3 linked regions of the Styela clava genome follow. The main gene of each other region encodes a partner of the protein of the gene in region 3 in a complex. Links are inferred from orthologs where the notes say so. Each region holds a gene or a part of one and is shown on either strand. Other genes may lie near its edges. The genes, in order: regulator of MON1-CCZ1 complex-like, vacuolar fusion protein CCZ1 homolog and vacuolar fusion protein MON1 homolog A-like.

Region 1 (7,703 bases), on a different chromosome or scaffold from region 3:
ATTTTATCATATAAGGAATAAATTCAAAATATTTTTATTTCGCAATCTTTGTGAAACATTGGGTTGCCTGTTCTTCCATAATTTGAAGTTTTTAAACAAGCAATGTCTAAATATATATTCTTAACAAACATGAATATACAATATTCATTACAACATCATAAATAATATATGTTAACCTTCAGACTGGGATTGCAATATTGTCAAAATATAGTTACCAAAAATATTGACCAGTTAACAGGAAAATTATAATTTTTCAGCAGCTTTGCTTGACGTTTATCTTGATTTATCTAAACAAGATCAGAAAATAGATACGATTAAAAAACAAATGTCAAGAATTAGCTGATTATGTCTTTTTGTGTTAAACAAAATCTACAATGCTTTAGATTTATTTTTAAGATTTACCGAAAACAGTAATGATACTGCCAATTCTTTGTTCTATTTTTTGGACCTGTACGTAACCAGAGTGGAATCTCATTCCACATCATTAACTTCATTAAGCTTCCACTAATTAGCTAGCTATGTGAGAAGAGATTCTGCCATTTTGTAACAACCATTCTTTATGTTTTTTTTTTTTGTTCCATTCAAGAGTGGGAATCCATGTTTGCTTTACAAGTTTGAATTATGATTACGCTAATCATTCACATCACCATCTCCCTTACAGAAGAAACAACATTGTGTGGACCAGGGGTGTGCAACCATTATTACAGGAGGGCCAGATACAAAAAGCTGGGTGAAATCGCGGGCCACACCTTTATTTAACATAGGATTTCTAGCAGTTGCAGGCACAAAAATTTTGATTATTGATTTTGCTCGCCCTTAGTATAGACCAAAGCTTTATATAATAACAAATCAAGATTCAATTTAAACAGAGAAATGAAAAATTCTAAAATATTGTATAAATATTCGCTCAGATAGTTATTTGACATACCGTATATATAATATGTAATTCATTATGTGAGTAATGCTGAAATATATGGATGAGAAGTTATTCAAATGACTAATCGCATTACAGCAGTTCTAAACGTCACATTACATGTCTGTACTAGTAACGCTTCAAGTGAGCTTGTCAAAAGATGACAGACCACTGAACCAGTCTGATAGGTTTGCAAAAATAACAAGATTTGAGACAAAATATCGAGGCTAAATTCAAAAAATTGCCATCTCTATAGTAAAAACATACCATATCTAAGTAATGAATATTTAAATTTAATTAGTCCATTAGATGCGGTAAAAGTAATTTTTTTCACCGCAACAACAAACCCAACAAAAACAACAACAAGTTAGTAAAAGGTGCGCTTTATCCCAACCACGGAAAATTAGCTTAAATATATTGGAGTGTAATTTTTCATAGAGGCAATATTTTGAACATAATATTACCAATTGAGTTCCATTCAAAATAATACCTGATAAAACTCAATGCCACTCTGCGTCACCATCACTATTTCATGTGTACTTATCCAATGAAATGTTAAAATCTTGTTATTTTTGCCCTGAATAAAAAAGAAAACGAATTTGCACATGATGAAAAAGTATAAGCAGAGAAAGTGAATTTTCATGTCTTAAAAATTTTACCTTGCTTGATTGTGAATATTCAGATGGATCTGGGCTCCCATCTTCAATGTTTGCGAATTCCTGAGAATAAATCATCAAACATATATTATTAAAATAACATTGAAGTACAATATGGTATATGATGGTGAAGCATTAAATTTAACTATGATTGCACCATTGATCAAATTCTTGGGTTCAAATTCCAACCATTCCCACCATCTCAAACAAGATGTAATAAATAGGATAGGTAGGCAATTTTCAATCGAAAAAACTTCGGTCCTTCCAAACCCCATCCATCCCAGGGTGTTGCCGCTCGATAACCAGTATTGGTTTTCGTTAATCTCCTTTCACTCTGAAGTACGATTTTTCATATATTTTCATTTCTTGTATGTATAGTGTGTATGTATTTTCACCATGGTGAAGAAATAAATTACTGATTACCTTTTAACTCCTTATATAGTAGTGATAGCTTATGCAGAGCCTTGTTTGGAGCAAAAGACCCATAACTACGTTAGATAGAAAAATAAAATGATTCATGTGTATTTATGGTAATCCCATCACCTATTCAATTTAGTCACATTTATTCCATTTTTAGAATAAGATTTGAAATGGACAAAATAATCATAAAACCTTCTTTCTTGCTTGGTACTATTCCAATAATCAGAAGTTGAATAAATATTGTTACCATATTAGAGTATTACCGTAGACATGATATGTCCATTCTATCAAGGCCCATGCTTCTAAAAATAACTACGGAATCACAGAATTAGAGTTGGCAAAATTTTATATCAAATACGTACAATATTCCCTTTTTTTGATTGAATCCATTCTATGGAATATTTTTAACAACAACACAGATGTTTGATGTTATAGTTAGAAAATATATAACAGTACAGACTGCCATTCAATATTACGACCTATTTACTTTTCTCTTTTCATTCACAGGGCTCATAGCCTGTATTTTCTCTCAAACAAATACCAGCAGCACTCACAATACTAGTCTCCGATCGTTGCAAAGCCAGTATTTTATGATGATATGAAAACTTGATTGATATCAGGGATCCTTTATCATTCAATCTGAAACTATGTGAAGTTCTGTCATCAGGACCACGGACAATCACACCTGTTGCACCTCCAGATCTAACAGCAAATATCTAGAACAAAATTTAAAAAGTTGAATATCCAAATTAAAATTAAACGACACCAGTAAAATTTCAACCCCCCCCCCCCCCCCCTAATTTCATAGTGTGATACCACACTGTAATTCCTAACGATTAAGTATAATTATATTTTAAATATATAGAATATGCCATAGGCCTATTTATCAGTGTAGACGTTAAGTCAAATACATACCATATTTTTATAAGTTACAAACAGTTTTATCGCTAATAGCAAACTTTTCCCATTCATACCTGTTTATTCGCTTCATCAAAGAAAACATTGTTGACAGCTGTAACTGCATCAAATCGAACTGAATTTTTGCATAGTGCAAGATAACTATTTGCATTGGAACTCATAATGTTAATTTCTACATTTTCTAAACACAATATAGAAAAAAAGTTCAAAAAAATTAATAGACTACTGAATTAAGTAATATAATCAATATAACCATATAAAATGACGTATTCAATCAGCTAATTGATTTCTAAATAGCATAAATGGATAGATGTTCAAAAATACGCGACAAAACAATTAAGGGAACCAAAACTATTTATTATTTCATCCCCAAACCAAAACAAACAGTTGGACATTCAAAGCTGGCTTAAACAGGAAATATTGCTAAGAGGAAAAAACCCTAATATAAAATGGTACTGTGTTAAAATACCTAGATATGAGTATGCAACAATCTGGTAGTTGGTGCATTGGTCTGATAATATTGGATGGAATAGTGTGTTAAAGTTTGGTAATTTGACAACCCCAGTTGGTTGGACACTAAACAGTTAAACACAAGCCCACCCCAGGTGTACCAAATTCTAGAAAAACTACAACGAGTCTGGCCAAACCTTTAAATCCTCATGTTAAAAATATACTGTTCAAACCCGTATGATACGAGATTTTATACGCTATTACTTTTTCAACCATAAATCCAACACAATTGAGTGTGAAGAATGAATAACAAGGCACCGGTTATCCAAATGAACCATTTCAAAGGATATATATATTTTCGCAAATATTATTAATAATATACAATAAAATATGAAAAATGAATGAGAAAACAAATCAAAAAAACACATTCGATTCATTCAACAGCTCGAAGCAAAATTATTTTAGATAGGAAATCACAAATGTCAAGAAAATTGTAATAACATTAATATAGATTTTGGGTTAATGAACTTATTGTGGTTTTAGTGAAATGTTGCAAAATTAATTAGCAATTGAAAAAAAAACAGATGTTATTACCAATGGTCAACTGGGTGCATAAACATATACTATAACAATATATGGCTCCCAGAATAAAGGGTAAATTCTCATGGATTTTTGGCTAATTACAAATGAAGAAAACTGAACTAATGGCAAAGTCACATAAAACACCAAAATGACAAACAATACTGTAGTCAATATTATTCCACAGCACATGAAATGACTGCACCATATTAAATGTGACAAAGTAGAAGAAAACGTATTTTGAACAAAATTCATGAATGAAATAAAATTGTATTCATGGCCAACAGTTCTTGGAAAGAATACAAAGCAAGATTGAAATGGCTGAATGCAAAACATTCCTGAAAAATCATGTGAATACATCGAATACATCCTCCGATATCGAGGTTAATCAGACAACACTCTGTGGATTCCAGCGTGACACTACACGTAAGATAATATTTTTAGGTGCATAACTTGTCAAGTTGAATAAAGTACTGTAAGTTCGCACCATTGATAATGATTAAGCTGTGAAAGTTTTGAGTTGGTGAAAAACGACTGACACAATTTTCTAGGTGTTGAGTGATAAACTAATTATCATTTCAACTGAGAAAAATCTCTGGGCTCAATAACAACTAAAAGCTTTTTAAGATTGTCATCTTCGTCTCTATAAATGTCGAAAGAAAATGAATTTCTTGTTTCCAATGAAGATGTCACATTTTTGACCAATAGCAATTCCAGATTACCGAATTATACGCTTTGGGAGAAATGGAAACATAATTAAAAGCAGTAAATGTAATTTTCTATTCCGATTACGACCCTATAACAATATCGTCAAAACGGGTGATATTGATAATATTGCTAAATCAATACACCTCTTGTTTACCCCCAAAATATTGTCTTCTGACAACTGAAAACCGAGCCAAATTAGTGCATACAGCATTCAAATGATATTGATAAGGTAAATGTTTGTACATTCAATCAAAACTTTTGATTATCTGAATGAGTTCAGTTAGCTGTGAGATATGTGAGACCTCATACATCATGCAAGGAATTGATATCCATAATATGGACAGTTTTACATAACCTGTATTTGTGTGATTTTTGAATCTTTTATTCACTTTACTTAAAGTTATAAAATAATGGAACAAATTAATAAATAAAATTTTTCCCGCTGTTTATATCCAATCTTCCAATCACACTTTGATATGAAATTCAAAATATACGCCAAGTTGGAGATTTCCAATAGTCTCAATTGAAATTTAAAATTGATATCTAGGATACTGAACTATTCGGCTATGAAGTTTTTACATCTAGTTAACCAACACCATTATTTAAAAAAAAAATTACGAATCAGTTTGCATGACAGTTTCTTGATTTTGACCATTATTATTAACAATCGGCCTCGCCCATTCAACAAAATCATCGATAAGTGCGGGCCAAGCACCTTCCTCATCATAGTTAGACATATCGTCAGAAATCATTAAACTAAATTCTAAAAGAAGATTCCAAGTGTCTCTAGGTATGGCTCGTTTATAATGTTCTGTAAGATACTGACACCACAGATCAAGATACTTGAATCTGTCACCGAGAAGGATATTCCAATAGGCAATAGCCATGTCAAGGTCCAATCCCTTTTGTTCAGGATTTTTTGCAAAATTGAAAGTATATTGATATAAACTTTTAAATTTTGCTTTGTCTGCAATTTCTGTTTCAAGATTCGGCAACATCCATCTTAGCTTTTCCAAATCATCGACTGATAATTCAATCATTCCATTAATAAATTCAGCTCTTGTGAATTCACATTGCACAGCTGCCTTGAATTTCCATGCAATAATAAGCACCAAACGACTTGTAGGATCAAGTTGGAGTTCTTCCAAAAATTTAGTTATTCCTTCCACACCTATCTTATCAGGATCTTGTGGATCACGAAGCCTATTATACAATGCTTCAATCCTTCGCCTGTCAACAGTGGGTTTACTCTCTCTCCAGTAAAGTTCAGGTTCAGTAAAATAGTTGTCAGAAGCAACATCTAACCTCCAATCGTGGTGTGACAAACAATATATGGCAGTTTTTTCTGAGGCCTGGGTAAAAGTCATGAAATGTCGAACTTTTTCCCTCTGAGATGGCTTCAACTTATGCATGGTGATATAAATGGTAGTTATATAACCTATTCCTGTTAAAATAAAGTGGACATTACATACGGTATCTAGTTTAGATAAGTAACCATCAGGACCTACATTCTGACTTTGCATTACCATACTGCCCTACAATGCTGCAATGAGCTCATCTTGATATTCAATTATAAACAACACTGCAAACTTCAACGTATATTCAGATTATACTGAAATTTAAAACCAATTCAATTCAACATTCTAACTCTAGAAAAGAAAATCTACAAAATACAGAAATAGCTCCAAGACTCAAAACATTCATATAGCCTATAATATAAAGCGATGAGTCTTGTAATACGAATTTCAAATTGTGAATTCAATGCCACTATAATTTTAAACAAGCGTCATAGTCATTGGTCAGTGAAACTTGTACACAGCATAATACCAATAATGGTTTTCATTGAATACATTTTGAAAAAAAAACTGCAATGGAGAGGTTCAGGGCGTTTAAAATAAGTAAATATGCACAAGAAGAAGCTGCCATCTGTAAAACTCGGACCCGCAATTTTACACATACCCTTCTTACAACTACACTTCTGTTTAACTAACATTATTGCATAGGACAGTAGGATCTTCACAATGTGGAGAGCGGGCCTAACCTGGAGGTACTGCAATAACAGGACAACCCGGGGGAGTGGTGTGGCAAGCCACAACGCCTAACCCTGAGGTGCAAAATTCAAATTAATACAAGAGTGAGGGAGTACCCAACATTTCAGGTATTATTCTGAAAAGAACAGATACTACACTTGATCTTGGCCAAAAGGCCGATAAGCGACACCATCTGCTCTCAGGCCCTCACTCTATTTGACTGAACTAATCTTCTGATCTTAAAGTTATGGTGGCTGTAACAAAACCACCAAACTGATCTTTTTTCATTGTGGTAAAAATACTAGCCTACAGCATTTCTGTCCGGTGAGACATTCTATTCTATACTTTGAAAACAATGTTATTATTGTAATTGCAAGTGTAATATCTATCTATGACAGATATTGTTTGGCTGTCAGTTATTCCTCAATTCTCTGATTTAAAACGACTAAGTTGCTATTCCAAATATATCCATGTATTCTGAAAGCAATGCTAAGCATTAGGAATGATCTCGCCACCACACCTCTGATTACCCTGCGTAGGTTTGCAAGTCGGAATCCTATGCAAGGATAATCAAGTGCGAAAAGACTGCTGGACTGGCTAACCGATGTCCGGTTATTGCTTCAACCGTCCTCAAAGTCCTTCTATTGCTAATTACCTATTTATTGTATGAAAGGATCTCCGCGATAAATAATCAAGTGCGGAAAGACTGCTGGACTGGCTAACCGACGTCCGGTTGTAGCTTCAGCCGTCCTGAAAGCCCTTCTACTTCTAATTACCTATTTATTGTATGAAAGAATCTCCACGATGTGGAGAGTGGGCCGAACCTGGAGGTACTGCAATAACAGGACAACCCGTGGGAGTGGTGTGGCAAGCCACAAAACCAAACCCTGAGGTACAAAAATCAAATTAATACAAGAGTGGGGGAGTACCCCACATTTCAGGTATTAATCTGAAAAGAACAGATACTACACTTGATCTTAGCCAAAAGGCCGAGAAGCGATAAAGATTGGTGTCCAGTGTCATAGCTTG
Region 2 (7,891 bases), on a different chromosome or scaffold from region 3:
TAAATACTTCTTCAAATGGCAAATAAAATAACAAAAGACATAGAACAGACAAAACTTTATATTCAGCCTAAAAAGATGATAATCAAGGATAACTAGTTACAATGAGAGAATGTACTCTCCTGTGGCCCTAATAGACACTGCCTAATATTTTGCATCATATTATATCCTGCTGATTAAAAATGTTACCATTGGAATCAATTATTTGTGTCTTCATGTAAATTATATAGAGTAAGTGATATAGTGAAGCATGAATCATGCTTGATTAAATATTTTACATAATTTTTGTTTTTCATTTGTTTGATATGCTTATACTGTGCTATACCATATATACTGCTGTATCAAAGAAATGTACCTTGAACATAAAATAAGCTTGCTCCAGTACAGATTTCAAAACAACACTCCTAATATTTTCCTCAAAATATTCTCTAACTGGTTTTCCATCTCGCATTGTTTCTTTCCATGGGTTTGATACTGTCTACAAAATAAGTGTTAATTGTAAAACGGGCAGTGATAAATGGACGCTCCAGAAGTGTGTGTACCAATATGGAGATAAGTAATTTTGTTCGCCTACTTTACATCAACTTGTATTATGGATCTGAAATCTATGGACTAGGGGGTATATTCACTTGGCTAACACAGACAGTCCCCGAACTTGTAATAGAACTAAAATGAGCAAAATCAGTTTAAAATTATGACCTAACCCTAACCTGGTACACACACTACGGGAGTACCGAAAAATAAATATGAATTTTACCATAGAAAAGCACAAATTCAGTAACAAAGCCTTCCACTTACTTTACCAGTTCACATTTTGGGTCTTGTAAAATGGCCACCTTCTCCCTAAGATTCAATGGCAACTTGAAAAATCTCATTTAAATGGCCCTGCTTGAATATATAATGACATGAACAAACAAATTTCCAATCCTTCTTAACATTTTCAAAAAAGCAATAATGTGCTTGGAAGTTAAGCTTATTACATGGGGTGCCTCCATGTTATTTAGTTTTGGGAAATACTATTATGAATCATAAAATAATGTTTTTCATTTCAGACAACTAAACCAAATATTTTACTCTGTTTATCCAGTTAAAAATGTTTGTAGTAAGTGATTCACATTGGCTTTAAATAGACAGTTAAGTTCTTAGTAGGCCTACATGAAAAAGATAATATATAGATTTGTGGAATATATGTTGGTACTTCTGTAGTAGGCTAGGTGTACCAGCTGTACCAGCCCGACTAAGGTTAGGCCATAATTTTATTCTAATTTCCCTTATTTTAGTTCTATTACAAGTTCAGGGACTGTCTGTGTGAGCCAAGTGAATATACCACCTGCCCATAGGTTTCAGTCCCTTTACACAACTTGATATAAAATAGGCGAACAAAATTAGTTACCTTCATATTGGTACACACACTTCTGGAGCGCCTACATGTAAAGTATAAACAAAAGAACAATTCTAAAATATATGAACATGAAGGTCATGCATTGGTGTCGATAACTAAGAACCAAGTTTGCTGAAATGAAATGTAATAATTGATTGTAGTTCAATTCATTTCAGAGGAGTGAGACAGAAACATTCCCATGGCATTAAAAAATGTGTTCCAAATAATTAAAATAAAACAGCAAAATTTTAAGTGGCATATTGCCGCCTTGGATCCCATCTCCCATAGAAGCATTTCGTGTCAAATAAAACAACTTATAAATATATATATTTATAGTTGAAACAATGTAAATAAGATTATTACCATGACAAACCAAAAATTCTCCTCCGCTTCATAAAATACTTGCTTGTGTTTTTGAGTATGAAGAGTTTCGCATGGTTTGCTTGATGAATAAGTTTTAGCAAATTGAATCAGCGCTTCACATAATCCAACTTTATTTATTTTTACATCGGGATGTTCTGATTCGGGATAGTAGAACAAAACTTTCAAATGTTCCTAAAATGAGAACAACGTTTAGTGTTTGAAGCAATTATTAGTCTACTTAGTTTAATTCACTTATGATAAATTTGTAACCTAGATATACTGTAGGCTATATATATATTTGTATCTCGCACATTTGTCCATGAGGTGTTTGCACTTACAGGTACATTGGAAAATATTTTCACAGTGATATTTACCATTGAGCAAAATCTAATGTTCAATCGGTTTTAAAGGGCACTGCCACAAGCATTATACAATATGATAATAAACAAACAGACTGAGGATGGATTCTGGTTTTGTTTGCCTGGTTGTGCAAATAAAATCACATGACTAGGATATCACTCAGTTGGATGGTAAATATGAACATTTGCCAAGATATAATATGCTCATTGCCTAGGCTTGTCTTATTCAACAGTGCTACTATCTCCCGCCAGGTACAGAATTATTCACTAAACCTGTACATACACATATAGCCTGATGAGATTTACTATTACTGAATGATCAAATGCCTAAACTTTCAAATCCCGGAAAAGCAGATTTGGATTAAGGTGTGCATGAGTGGCAATCATCTACAACAGGGGTGGGCGACCTTTAATACAGGAGGGCCGGCCAGATGCAAATGACTGGGTGAAACCGCACACTGCACCTTTATTTAACATAGGCTATCTAATAGTTGAAGGCACAAAAAACAGATTAAACTAAATGAAAAACTCGTTTCACAGGCCACACAATTTTTCTTTGCGGGCCGCATTTGACCTGCGGGCCACAGGTTGCACACACCCAATCTAGACTACAATATTTAAAAATATTAATTACTGTAAATACCATAATAAACATGTCATGTAATACTAACCTGGCCTTCTTTCGGTCCATAAGTAGGGTTATATATTAGAAAAGAGGACAACTTTGCTGTTGCCATATTACAGCGGTTCAATGATAACAAATCATTAATCGTAGTATTATATATACAATATTTAAATATTGAAGAACTGAAATGAATGTTGAGTACCAATATGAATTCAAGAAATAAAAATTGCACTTTAATAATATGAGGAAAAATAAAAATACTATCAGTCAAAATAGGAATCATAACATCAGTTTCACAATAGAGTTGAACGAATGAAGAAAACAAACAAATTATTCGACTCTGGGAAAGGGTTATTATATACCGTGAATAGTAAATATAGTAGTCTCTATTTTATACATAACATTAATCAAAGCGTGATACAAAGTCTTGCTATATAGAAATGACCAATTTATTAATTTGGCAATTAAATCCATAATATTCAACTCATAATCCCCAACATGAAAAGGCATACATTATACACAGTAACAACACAATACAGAAAAAAAACATCCAAAATATGGCAAGATCCTTATACATGCGGTAGAGCGCAGAGGCTATAGGTTATCAAATCACATTTTTATTGACACATTATTAGTATTATAAGTCACAAATATCACTACATAAACATACAGTATATATTATACACAAAACCAAGATCTTTTTAATACATAACATACAAAAGCAATACAAGCTACACTAGTTTTCATCAATTCTTCGATAGCTTGAACGAAATGAGAGTAACCTTTCAAATAAACGATTGGCACAAGCAGAATGCTTCACAAAATCATTATAAAAAATTGGAAAAAGGCATATCAAGCTTGTTACATTGGAAATAATAAACAAATTGAAAACCCAATTCCAACCATAATTTGATTGTATAACTGCTACAAGGTATTGACCAATTGCTGCACCAAGGCTTCCAGTTCCATCTATAATCCCTGTTACAGTTGCTAGAGAGTGTTCACCAACAGCTTCCCGTTTTGCGATATCTACAGCAATTGCAGAAGATAAAATATTTGATACACCATTGATTAAGAATCCAACGATGGACATCAATATACTGTTAATGACAACATCGTTTGGCGATGATTTATATCCCCACAATGCAAAAGGCGAACCAAGAAGCATGAAAAATAAAACTAAGCTTCGAGTTTTGAAAACATCTGACAGTACACCTGCAATAATTCCACCAGCTATTCCTCCAACATCATACCATGTGGAGACACTAGATGCAAGTGAATCATCCCACTGGAAATGATTGGTTAAATAATACGGTAGCCAGAAAAGAAATGCATAGTTGACTAATTTCAAGCACGCGAAGCTGAGAGAATAAGGTATAACTCCAGGTAAGAATAGAGCATTTAGAAAAGACAATGGTTGAGATTCCTTTTGATGACTATTAGACAACATTGCAATTTCAGTGTTTTCATTTTCCAATGTGGTATTTGTAAGTGCATTGTCTTTATCTACAGTCTCCAAAATTGCATTAGTAGGTACATTCATGTCGTCTTCAGAATTGAAATCATCTTCAAGAGGTTGGGAATCTTCATCATCTAGAGTTCTTCTATCCAAAGATTCTGTCTCAACCGGTGGAGGAAGACCTACTTCAAGTGGTGTATTCACAAGGCCGAACACCACGACCAGTCCTCCACCCAACATCATAACAGATATGGTAAGAAATGCATATTCATAACCATAATTAATAACTGAAGATGTGATGACATTTCCAATAACATTACCAACCGATGCACATGATGCCCAAATTCCAAACACAAGGCCTCTCCCAGATTTACCAAACCAATTGCCAACAACTGCGACACAAGTTGGCCAACCAACTGATTGTATAATTCCCTGTAAAATCCACATGGATATGTAAAATCCTTTATTGTAAAAGTGTAACATTTGAGTTAAAACTCCAAAACAAAATAAAAGTATGCCAGATAAAAACATTGCTATGGCCAATGCTTTTCGCAGTTCCACTCTGTCAGCAAGAAAGCTTGTAAAATACATTCCAATAGCATAGGAGACTAAAAATAAAGAATCCAAGAGCCCAAGAAAGGGTTCTGCTGATGCATAGCTTGAGAACAATTGTCTGTCCTCCCATATTTCTTCAGGCCTTGGGCAAGGCCATGATAAATTACATGATAGTGGAGTCCATTCTTTTGAAAATGAATCTTTAGAATCACTGTAAGCCTTTCTTGATGCATGAAATATTGTATACACACAATATGTTAGAACAAATGCCACAATTTGATGATGTGACCACATTTTGATACATTTATTAAATCAGTCAATGTCAGCAGAATTTTTGTTTCATGGTAATTCTATAATATATATACATTATTAACATTTATAATCTGTAATTAGTCAAATGCTGTAAACTAAACAATTTTATGATCCAGTTATGACTGTGAGAATAATAGGGATAAAAAAGTACTGAAAAAAAAAAGAATAAACCAAGAAGAATGATATGAATGTTCTGTAGGACACATGAAAAAAGTAAACTGAAGACTTCTAACGCTTCAGATTTATGCTCACTTTCTCAAATTTTTGTGATAGATTAGTTTATAAGTTGTAAGTGGAAACAGCCACCTTTCCATCTCCCATTACAGGAAGAGCCTTCGTGCAGTTGCAGGCATACCCGTTAACCGCCGTCGCATGGCGAGTGGTCCATGGCGAGTTAGCCTCCACCCCCCAAGAACCCCCATATAGCCTACTGCCATGGGCCATTGTCATATCGTGGTATCCGAACTAACCCTAGATGCGAGCTTTCTTCCGAGAGAGCTAGCTCGCCATGTCTATTTTCTTTTTATTTGTTGATCGACATCGCGAGTTCGAGAGAGAGAGAGAGGGCTAACTCGCCATGACTATTTGTTTATATTTGTTGAACGACATCACGAGTTCGAGAGGGCTAACTTGCCATGTCTATTTTTTTTATATTTGTTGATCGACATCGCGAGTTCGAGAGAGGGCTAACTCGCCATGTCTATTTTCTTTCATATAGACAATGTTTCATCCTTTATACCTATTCCTTTTGTCAATTCTTCCGATGAGACCGATCCTGTTTACGTCCTTTTTATTTACCTACAATTACAAATGAGCAAAAAGCTAACAATGACGTGTAATTGGAATATAAGCCGCCGCTCAGAGACACTTTTCCGCTCAGACAGATATTCAAGCATGATTGTAAACATTGCCTCGTTTTAGTAGGTTTGCGTCTTATTCGTCAGTTTTTAGTTGTGTTTCCAAAACATAGTTTTAAATCAAATACCTTAACTGCAATTATGTATTCTGAGGACCTTTAGTTTAGTTACAACAATAATCCAAAATTGATATCGCAAACGATGCGATAGACCAGGGCTACTCAACTGGCGGACCGCGGTCCGAATCCGGACCTTTCGAGTATTGTATTTGGACCGCACCTAATTATTTATTTTGAATCATTAGCCCCACTTTTTGAATTTTCTATTATAAAATGACTTTCATAGTTTTGAATATATACGAAAAGAACTATAACACCGTAATAAACAATTTTAATTTGCTACTAATCATTAGTCGGTCGAGGAAGTGCTCGTTTAAGGATGCCGAAATATCAGTTCTGGAAAGACCGGACCCAAATAATTTTGAAGTTTTGTTTGCGGACCTTCGATAAAAATAGTTGAGTAGCCCTGCGATAGACTACCTTAATATTAGCTATCAGCGCCACGTGGTTTATTGTTTTGAATAAAAATGAGTTTTAAACATGTGAGCCAATTTGTAAGCGCCAACTCTCCAAAACTATCCCATAAGCAACGTTAAAATTTTTGCAATGAAAATATGATCCATAACGGCGCTATGTTGTGTTTTTGGCTGACTAGGGCTGGGAATGGTTTACCGATTTCAGATGGTTAACGGTTATCAGTGGCAGCGCGTCAATAGGGCCAACCGGGGGCCGGGGCAATGCCCCGGTTATTTTCGGTATAATAAAAAATATTCGAAAAATACCTCAATATCGGTTGCACAGACTGTCTACACTAGCCATATTCCCCCGACATGGTTCATTTTTCGCTCGCAAAGCCTTCGCCGAACGTCGACGGGGCGACGCCGATTTTGCCCCGGTTGCTCATTGTATATCGTATTCTCTCTTTTATCTTCCACTCGCCGCGTTTATCTCGTTTATTTTCTGTTTCTTTTACTAAATCATCCGGGTCGATCGGGCTGTCGGGGCTAGCCCCGAAATTATGACGACACAATGCCGACGTTTCTTACAACAACGTGTTGACATATTCACGCATTCCTTCTCGTTCGTTGGTTGCTTGAAGAGTTGATAGTTTCCTCGCCTTCGTTTTTGTCGCTCGTTTCACTATTTGAATCAGTTAGACCCCTTTAGTCCATTTGCTTTCGATTTTCCACATTCCTTTTGAGCTCCTCACTTCTTTCCGGCTTCGCATTTCTTAGCCTTAGACCTCATAATGAATAAGGTTGATGCACTACTTCGCACTCCGTTTTCGCAGTTGCCGCTGGAACAAAAATTAGAGGTACAACGTCTTGGGCCTTATCAACCAAAAAATTGTTCACTGGAACAATCCCATGACGGAGAAAAGCGTCGGCGTACATTCTGCGCAGAAACTTGGTATAAAAAACACGAATGGTTGTGTTACAGCGAGGACAAAATGCACTTTTTTGTTTTTATTGCCTACTTTTTGCTACCGCCCGTGACTCACGTTGGTGTAAATTTGGTTTTAGAGATCTTAAACATCTTTCCGAGCGTGCCAAGGATCATCAATCTTCTATGGAGCATCTGGACAATGCAGTAAAATACCGAACATTCGGAAATGTTAATATTGCAGCGCGGTTTCTATTCGTCGGCACAACCAAAACGTCGAGAAAAACCGCCATGTTCTCGGTCGATTGATAGATGTTTTGAAGTTCATTGGTTGTCACGAGCTGTCCCTCCGTGGGCACGATGAACGGGCTGGCTCTTCTAATAGAGGGGTATTTTTGGATATGGTGGAATACACCGCATCCCTAGATACAGTATTGGGAGATCATCTTGATGCCGCAACTGTTTCGAAAGGGACATCTAAGGATATCCAAAATGATTTGCTCGACTCAATGTATAAAATTTATTTACAACATTTGGCTCT
Region 3 (7,530 bases):
AGTGTGAGTGAGTTATGATTGTATTAGTCAAATTTTTATTGCAATTAACCCCTTAGTTTGCAACTCGGCTTATGATAAGTGAGAATTTAAGTACTACATGATCTTGTTTGGTAGGTATAATCAGAGATCAAATTTTCAGACAGAACGACAACTCCACACTACTCATCCTTGAATCAAAAAATTGAAAAAGCTTCAATAAAACAAATTTTTATCATGAGAATTTTTTTTTTCAGAGTATGCTGCTGGAGTGGAAGTCAAAATCTGGTAGTTTACTGTCGTTTTTAAAGCTTTAGAGAGTATTGGATTTAAGACAGGCGTAGGTAGGCCTACAGTTTCCTAGAATGTCCTGTTTCGATATAAAACAAAAAACCAAACGTCGTAGTTTCAATTTTGAATTATTACGAAGAAAAAAGTTATTTTCAGCTGTTTTAATCATTTTGAAGCAAAATCCATCAATGTAATATAAAAAATCAACAATATAAGGTTTTCTCAATTTTATCAAAACATCTTTGAGTTAAAACTATTGAACAGAGATACAAAAACATCATTAATACCGGGTATTGGGATGGAGTCAGTCCCAGAGAATTCACCAAGTTGTGAATTGCCACTTGGATGTCTTGTCACTGTTTTATGAGAATCACTTTTTGCTCTGTGAACTGGAGTTTTCGTTTTCTCTTCATCAGCTTTCACAGAAACACTTGAAAAATTAAATATACAAATTATGTTTTATTCCCGGGGTGTGCAACCTGCTGGTTCAACATTGTCTATGCCAGTGGTTCTCAAACTTCTTGATATTGCGACGCCCTCCGAAAAATATGATCAAGTTGCGACTCCCCGTTAAAACGGCTTGATATTTTTTAATGGAAGACCTTTTTTTGTAATGAGTTTCATGCGTAGCCTACAATTCCACAAAATAAGAAAAGTTTTGCAACGCCCTAGCAAAATGGAAACAACGCACTTGGGCACCGCGACGCCCTTTTGAGAACCACAAGGCAATTTATAGGGTGGGAGACTGGGAGAACATGGGGATTGGAAAATAGATGTGTAAGCTGCAATGTCAACAAAGATAAGTCTAACGCTTTAACCACTAAACCATTGCGTTCCTTGTATTACTTATTATTGCACTGACTTTATATTATAATATACAAATCTCAAATGAATCGCGTCATTTATTTTGATGTAATTAGCAAATAGAATATCAAAATATATTTGATAATGGCTGAATGGGGAGGATATTTTAAAACTTTCCCAAGATCGGAGTCTTGTGTCAAAGATCTAGCATCCAGGGAGTCAGAATTTTCCCAGAAACATGAAATCAGTAAATTCATTAACTCATCTTTTTTCAATCCAGAATCCCCGATTGTAAGTTTCTCAGACTCCAGAGCAAAAGTTATTATTTTCGTAATTTGTGATTTGGAGTTTTGAAAATAATGCATTTTATTTTAATATTATTACACAGCTAACCTTCTCATCAGCCGAGTTAAGTCTTTAATTCCTGCAGCATTGGTAAAGTGGTGATCAGTTGCATTTTCGTCCCATTCCTTAGTTTCTGTTGTTAGTTCTTCGCTCACAACGAGTGACTGGTTTTCTGCCGTTGCTCCTAGTAATTCAAGGAAAAAGAATTGAATACTTACAAATTTATCCCGAAAAGATGAAGTCAATACCGGTACGATGGCTTATGTATATCAGTAGGGTGGTGTAGCCAGTCTGCGGACGGTTCCATTCAAACCGCTATAAAACAAAAACAAATATTTCTAACCCGTAAATTTTTTCACCGTAGGTGCATTGGCATTTATTCTACACGCTAAACCTCGAATTAACTTTCTACGACCAGGGGTTAAAGCTATACAAACCACCGAAGTACGACACTCGGAAGACGTATTTGCGACCGAAACAACCAGTGTGCGACCACGAATTTCAAGCCTTGAACATCGTTTCTGCAGCGTCGAGACTAGAGCATACGCAGCCATGCGTGAAAAAATTGGGCTTCTAATTGCATTTCTGACCGTCATATATTTTAAGAACACAGTCATTTCAAACAAAACTTGTCAAATTATATACAAAGCACTGAAGCACCGCATCACAGCAATCAAACAGACAAAAACACGGTGGTCGCAAATTGGTCGACAAAGATATTATTGACGTATTGGAAATGCGCGCCTTCCTATTTCTCCTCCTTTAAATGTAGAAACGTGGAAATTTAAAGCTGGTTAAAAGAAACACAACTCTACCTTCTGACCTTCTTGCCAAGTTTCATCTTTTTATCTCTTATATTTGTATGGATTTTCAAGTTTTTTTAATGGAATAATAGTCTGTTTTTTATTTTCGGTCGTAAGTTACGACTCGTAACTTTCTTGTTTGTGACCGCATTTTTAGGGACACGTGGACGATAAGGCGTGAAAAATAACGCCGCGGTTCGTTAATTTTTTCGACATAAATTAGATCAATGAAGTTGATGGCCGCAAAGTGGTTGAGCCACCCTATATGGCAGTAATTACTAGACAGTATGGCAAGCCGTGGCACTGCGGTGTTTAAGTTACAGGACTACTGACTTAGACGGGTACCATATCAAAATAAATCGGGAGTGAATTCTTCAAAACATACCTACAGATGTACCGTACCGGTATAATACCACACATTCAACATTTCTACGATTTTTAAGAATAGCCTCCACATTGAGAGAAATCAAGTGAGTGAAAAACCCCTTCTTCCAAAGATAGTTTGGGCCTCCAAGTCGGCAATCCGGACCTGTGCGATAAACTAATAGGATTCGCAATCTAAAAACGTCACCATCGGCTTACCTGGCTCAATTTCTTCCAGTCCATTTATAGACGGCCTGGCATCGGTAACAGCTACTTCGTCTGTATCGCTTGGAACTGACATGCTTCAGTTCGAATGCACTAACACAGCGATACCGGTACGGTAGCGTATTCCTGTATTCCGCTACCCCACCACGGCACTTCAGAACCTCACCCAAACAAATGAAATGCAGAGATTTTTTTCACTCAGGTTTCCACTTCGGAAAAAATCCGGAGTCAAACTATATCAGGAATTTGCTGCCGCAAAAAATTATCAGTCCGACTAATTTGCTGATGAAAACGCGTCGAACCCCGGTATAAATAGGTATATCCTACTCTAACTATTCATTACCTATTCTTTAGAAATAAAATTAACACAATTATACAGATTATAGACAATGAAAAATAACATATTTATCACAAATACATAGCGTTACCGGTGGCAGGTAGTGCTAAGCGTTAAAAATATGCTTGTCATCTGTCACGGACCATAATGTCCGTGTTTATCATGTGTATATAAATTTTTAGGTTTGTATGCTTGTCCCTAATTTGCTAATTCGACTCCGACCCTCCATTACACGTTAGAAGAAAAAGATACTCTTATCATACTCTGATCATGTGCGAGAGGATTGCTGGACTCCTCGATGCCGTAGGGTGGTTCACGTAACCGCTGGTCGGTTACGGCTTCCTCTACCATCAAGTCCATGCTTCCGAAAACAAATAACTGGCTAACTAATCCAGTACCCGACCTGGACTGGTAACCGGACGAGAGGCCGTGGTTTGCCATATAATTAAGCCGTCTTATCGGCTTTCCTCTTCCCGGGATAAATATGTAAATCCTATTTTATCCCACTCTCTTATTCGGCTGGAGGTCGGCTGCTTTTGATGTTAAAAGTGTGGAGTTGTCGTATCAATAAATAACCAATCCAGAATCTTGGGCCTCCTGACTTCATTAAACACAGTAACAAAAACTTATCGGTGACACATAGCCCATCTGATTACCCTGCGTGGCTTCGAATCAGATGGAGGATGGTTATCTGCGAGAATATTGCTGAACTCTTCGCCGCTAATGGTTGTTCTTAACATGTAACCATTGGTCGGTTCCGGCTTCCTCCACCAACGAGTTCATGCATCTGAAAACTCATAATTGGCTAACTAGTCCATACCCGACATTGAACTTGGCCTAGTAACCGGACGAGAAGCCTTGGTGATTTATACACTCTGACGAGAGTTCGCCAAATTAATAATCCACCTTATCGGCTTCCCTCCCCCATGAGATTAATCTGAAAATTCCAAGATATAGCGCCATTTTGTTTTGAATTCTGATACAACTCAATTTGCATTTCATGTGAATTCTGTAGCCTAGGGGGTTTAGGCAGTGAGTACTGTATACAAGGAGCAAGAACCAACAGTTCGAAGACTTTTAAATGTCTTATCTGGTTGACAAAATCACATATTGCCAACAGAAAATGTTTTAAATAAATAAAAGTAATATCCTTCTGGGGGAAAATAAAAACTTTAACCAGTCAAAATGTCAAAGCAATTGCCTTGGTAGTGAAAAATGTGAAAGGTAGTGTAGTAGTGTAGTGTAGTCACTGTGAAAAATGTTAACTTCTATTTACATACGGTAACATCAAAAATACCAACAACATAATAGGAAATTTTCGTGTCCAATAATATGGCAGTAATACTACGGCAAATCAAAACAGTATTCTTTCCCAGTTGGGACAGGTGAAGTTAACCAGTCCGTATTCGCAAGCCTATCGAATAGACTCAACTGTTTACCACACGTCTATATTTATTGTTCTTCCATTACCTCAGACATGATTCATATTACCAGATACAGCTAGACCGCAATTTTAGTGATTGATATTTAAGATAATGGCTTGACGTGCTAAGGGTTAGGAATCGCATCCCATCGCATTTCAGATTACCATGTGTGTGTCCGCAAGTTCTAATTCTGTGGGAATTATTATGTGCGAAAGAATTATTTGACTCTCAGTCGAATCTTGTTTCATAGAATACTGGTCGTTCACAGCTTCCTAAACAACCAAGCCTCTGAACAACATGCATCTAAAAAAACTGGCGAACTAACAACGGTTAGTCACTAACCCCATACCCGACATGAACTGGTAGCCAGACGAGAGTTTGTGCCTGTATGTCAACCAGCTTTTCAATTAGGGAGTGGTGAATATTTTGGTATTACCAATACTATTTCGTCACGCTAATAACCGAATTGCGTAAGTCATTTTTGGCGTTTTTGAGTTTTTTATAAAATAGGTATTTATGTAATGCTGCGCACCTGTCTGTTCCCTCAGATTTTATTTTAGGAATTCCGAAACCCATAAAAATGGAGACTTAGTATGACATGCATATTTGTGCTATTGTTTTGTCATAATGAATTATCATTGTTACCGTAGGACTATTGTGACGTCACAAAAGCAAAATAAAATCGGCGAAGTATTTTCGAGTTTTTGCATCTCGGATTCTAGCATAGCACGTATTAATTTGAATTTTTACTACAGTATAGGAAGACGTGCACTTGTGATATTCACTGTCCGAGTCCAATTTACCATGGTTGGCTTTTATATTGGGTGCATTGCTGTTTTATTCTTTATATTCAATCTTAGTCTTATTTTGATGGGTGTGCAGAACGTGTTATATTGATGAAATATATATTTTTAAACATAAAAAATAATGTAATTAAAACTGATTAGCTATTTTGGGGATTAGACATTGTAAATACTGAGAATTACATTCGTTTTTGGAATGTTTAGTTTTCAGGACTGGTGCATATAGTGAAGTTTCAAAATTGCGTATATCCCCAAGTCATAGACACATTTTTGCCTAAGTCACAGTGCGCCATTATGACGTCACATAACTGCATCATACAAATTAACTTAAATCCGGATATGATCAAAAAATTGAACCATGGCAAATTACTGACTCTCAATGGCAAAACAATATCATTAGGAAGTTTTTAAGTTTTTCTCAAAACTGCTAAAAATGACTTACGCAATTCGGTTATTAGCGTGACGATTTGTAACCTTTAAAATTGTGTTGTTAAGTTTTTGACAGACGATCTACAGAGGTAAACATGCCATATTCTATATATATATATATGATTAAAATACAATCATACTTGAATTATGAATAACAGTGTGGTTTCACACTAAGATTACAAGATAGCGTGCCATTTGGTTTTGAATTCTGATGATACTATCTAATATACATGCGTTTTATGTGAATTCTATAGCTTACGGACCTGAGGCAGTGAATAAACGAGGAGACAGAATCAACAGTTCGAAGAATTATTAAAATGTTTTATTTTATTAACATTACAATCCAGAAATTGTCTCTTTGTATAATTTCAAGGAGAAAATTTCACGCTGTTTTTGTCGGTAGTATTAAAATATTCTTTACTCATTAAGTACGCAATTCTCATCATTTGGTTTCACAGTCTTTTGATAGTTATATTTGCATACGGGTCCCCAATTAGAACGAAATAACGCAAAAATAGTTCGTCGTTTCACTCAAACCGCGCCCTAAAAATTAATCAGCACAAAACAACAAGGAGCTAGGAAAGCAAACCCAAAATAAGTAAAATATATTAATTGTATTTTATATTTGTATACTATATATATGATTATGAGAAAAATTGTCATCATAGCAATATTGCGCACTGAAGGAAACATGTTTTGTATCGGCGATTAGATTTCTGTAGTACTTGTAATTGCAGGATCGCCCAACAGCCCGCTAAGAGGGTTCGAATGATTAAGCTTCGACTTTCTCTAATGAACATCAAATTCTTGAAATCATGCTTTTCTTAGTTGTGTATAGTTTATATTACATTGAGAATTTTGTTTGTAATAAGTTACTTATTGAGATTATTTAAATAGTAACTATGGTTATGTTTGAACTATTTGAATAGTACGCTTTAGAAAAAAAAAATGTCCATCCATCAATGAAGCGAGCAATGAATGAGTTTAGTACAATTTGTACGGCTAATGTACTAAGCATTTGGTCATTACAGTCGATTTCGATTACCTATTTCTGTTTGAATCCAAGTTAAGCAAAATTTAGAGTAATCTCGTTTAGATGAGTCTAGGTTAGATGGTGACTAAAATCCAACACGATTCGAGTCAATGACTCTAGCTCGGCGGTGTGGCGCATTGGTGTAAGCGTTAGGAATAATCTCGCCACCGCACCTCTGATCACCCTGCGCGGGTTTGAAGGTTCGAATCACATGCTGCGACAATTTATGCGATTGGATTACCCTCTCTGGCGTAGAGTGATTCACGTAATCGCTGGTCGATTATGACTTTCTCATCCATCACGTCCATGCTTCCGAAAGCAAATCACTGGCTAACTAATCCCATACTCAACATTGACTGGTAACCGGAGGAGAAGCCGTGGTTCGCCATATGATTTAGCCGTTGTATCAACTTTCCTCTTACCTGAGATTAATACGTAAATCCCATCCTAAGTCAGTTTCATTAAATATGTTGGAGTTTGATCTATATTGTCGATTAAAAAAGCTTGGTTTCCTCATGAAAAAATTAGAGAAAATCTTCTGCTATTTTACTTTTATCATTTACTTTATACAGACCATATTTATTTCTATATAAAACAAAAATCATAGCTGTGCATCACTAATATGGATTACTTCAAGGAATTTATCCCTCTGCGCCATCTGTTACTTTTTGCCTTGATCATACTTAGCTTCTGCGCC

The links.
Region 1: the proteins of vacuolar fusion protein MON1 homolog A-like (region 3) and regulator of MON1-CCZ1 complex-like are in contact, whole or in part, in a cryo-EM structure (PDB 8JBE), measured with the Drosophila melanogaster proteins. The link is inferred for Styela clava from reciprocal best matches to the Drosophila melanogaster genes Mon1 and Bulli. Residues at the interface, in NP_608868.1 of Drosophila melanogaster: Pro416, Glu417, Arg419, His438, Pro439, Glu445, Arg448, Met473, Lys474, Glu475, Arg476, Glu494, Pro495, Val496; in NP_648047.2 of Drosophila melanogaster: Ile561, Arg565, Lys568, Asp590, Leu592, His595, Ser596, Arg599, Phe600, Met603, Phe631, Pro632.
Region 2: the proteins of vacuolar fusion protein MON1 homolog A-like (region 3) and vacuolar fusion protein CCZ1 homolog are in contact, whole or in part, in a cryo-EM structure (PDB 8JBE), measured with the Drosophila melanogaster proteins. The link is inferred for Styela clava from reciprocal best matches to the Drosophila melanogaster genes Mon1 and Ccz1. Residues at the interface, in NP_608868.1 of Drosophila melanogaster: Trp112, Gln113, Phe120, Leu142, Val145, Ile146, Leu149, Phe152, Val153, Gln157, Asp158, Ala159, Ile160, Thr161, Ser162, Ile163, His164, Ala165, Gly166, Ile168, Phe170, Phe172, Arg185, Arg459, Ser464, Arg465, Pro466, Leu467, Lys468, Leu469; in NP_647835.1 of Drosophila melanogaster: Lys48, Gly51, Leu52, Ile56, Phe59, Thr60, Thr62, Phe63, Thr64, Asp68, Cys69, Gln70, Ala71, Leu72, His73, Thr74, Gln75, Lys76, Thr77, Ala114, Glu115, Ala412, Asp413, Asn416, Pro427, Ala428, Glu429, Glu430, Val431, Gln432.

Annotation. Positions count from the first base shown.
Region 1 is NC_135258.1:12,005,664-12,013,366, reverse strand, and holds the start of regulator of MON1-CCZ1 complex-like, read right to left. Parts: upstream 3,093-7,703; 5' UTR 3,069-3,092; coding exon 2,964-3,068; intron 2,706-2,963; coding exon 2,544-2,705; intron 1,633-2,543; coding exon 1,573-1,632; intron 1,491-1,572; coding exon 1,404-1,490; intron 288-1,403; coding exon 216-287; intron 1-215. Other genes in the region: DCN1-like protein 1, read right to left, coding at 5,259-6,056. UniProt on the Drosophila melanogaster protein: Positive regulator of the Rab7 guanyl-nucleotide exchange activity of the Mon1-Ccz1 complex, possibly by enhancing its endosomal membrane association.
Region 2 is NC_135260.1:15,859,924-15,867,814, reverse strand, and holds the start of vacuolar fusion protein CCZ1 homolog, read right to left. Parts: upstream 3,009-7,891; coding exon 2,772-3,008; intron 1,934-2,771; coding exon 1,742-1,933; intron 476-1,741; coding exon 353-475; intron 1-352. Other genes in the region: sugar phosphate exchanger 3-like, read right to left, coding at 3,462-5,033. UniProt on the Drosophila melanogaster protein: Part of the Mon1-Ccz1 guanyl-nucleotide exchange factor complex specific for Rab7 that promotes the exchange of GDP to GTP, converting Rab7 from an inactive GDP-bound form into an active GTP-bound form.
Region 3 is NC_135250.1:28,746,059-28,753,588, forward strand, and holds the start of vacuolar fusion protein MON1 homolog A-like, read right to left. Parts: upstream 3,002-7,530; 5' UTR 2,884-3,001; coding exon 2,802-2,883; intron 1,601-2,801; coding exon 1,465-1,600; intron 698-1,464; coding exon 555-697; intron 1-554. UniProt on the Drosophila melanogaster protein: Part of the Mon1-Ccz1 guanyl-nucleotide exchange factor complex specific for Rab7 that promotes the exchange of GDP to GTP, converting Rab7 from an inactive GDP-bound form into an active GTP-bound form.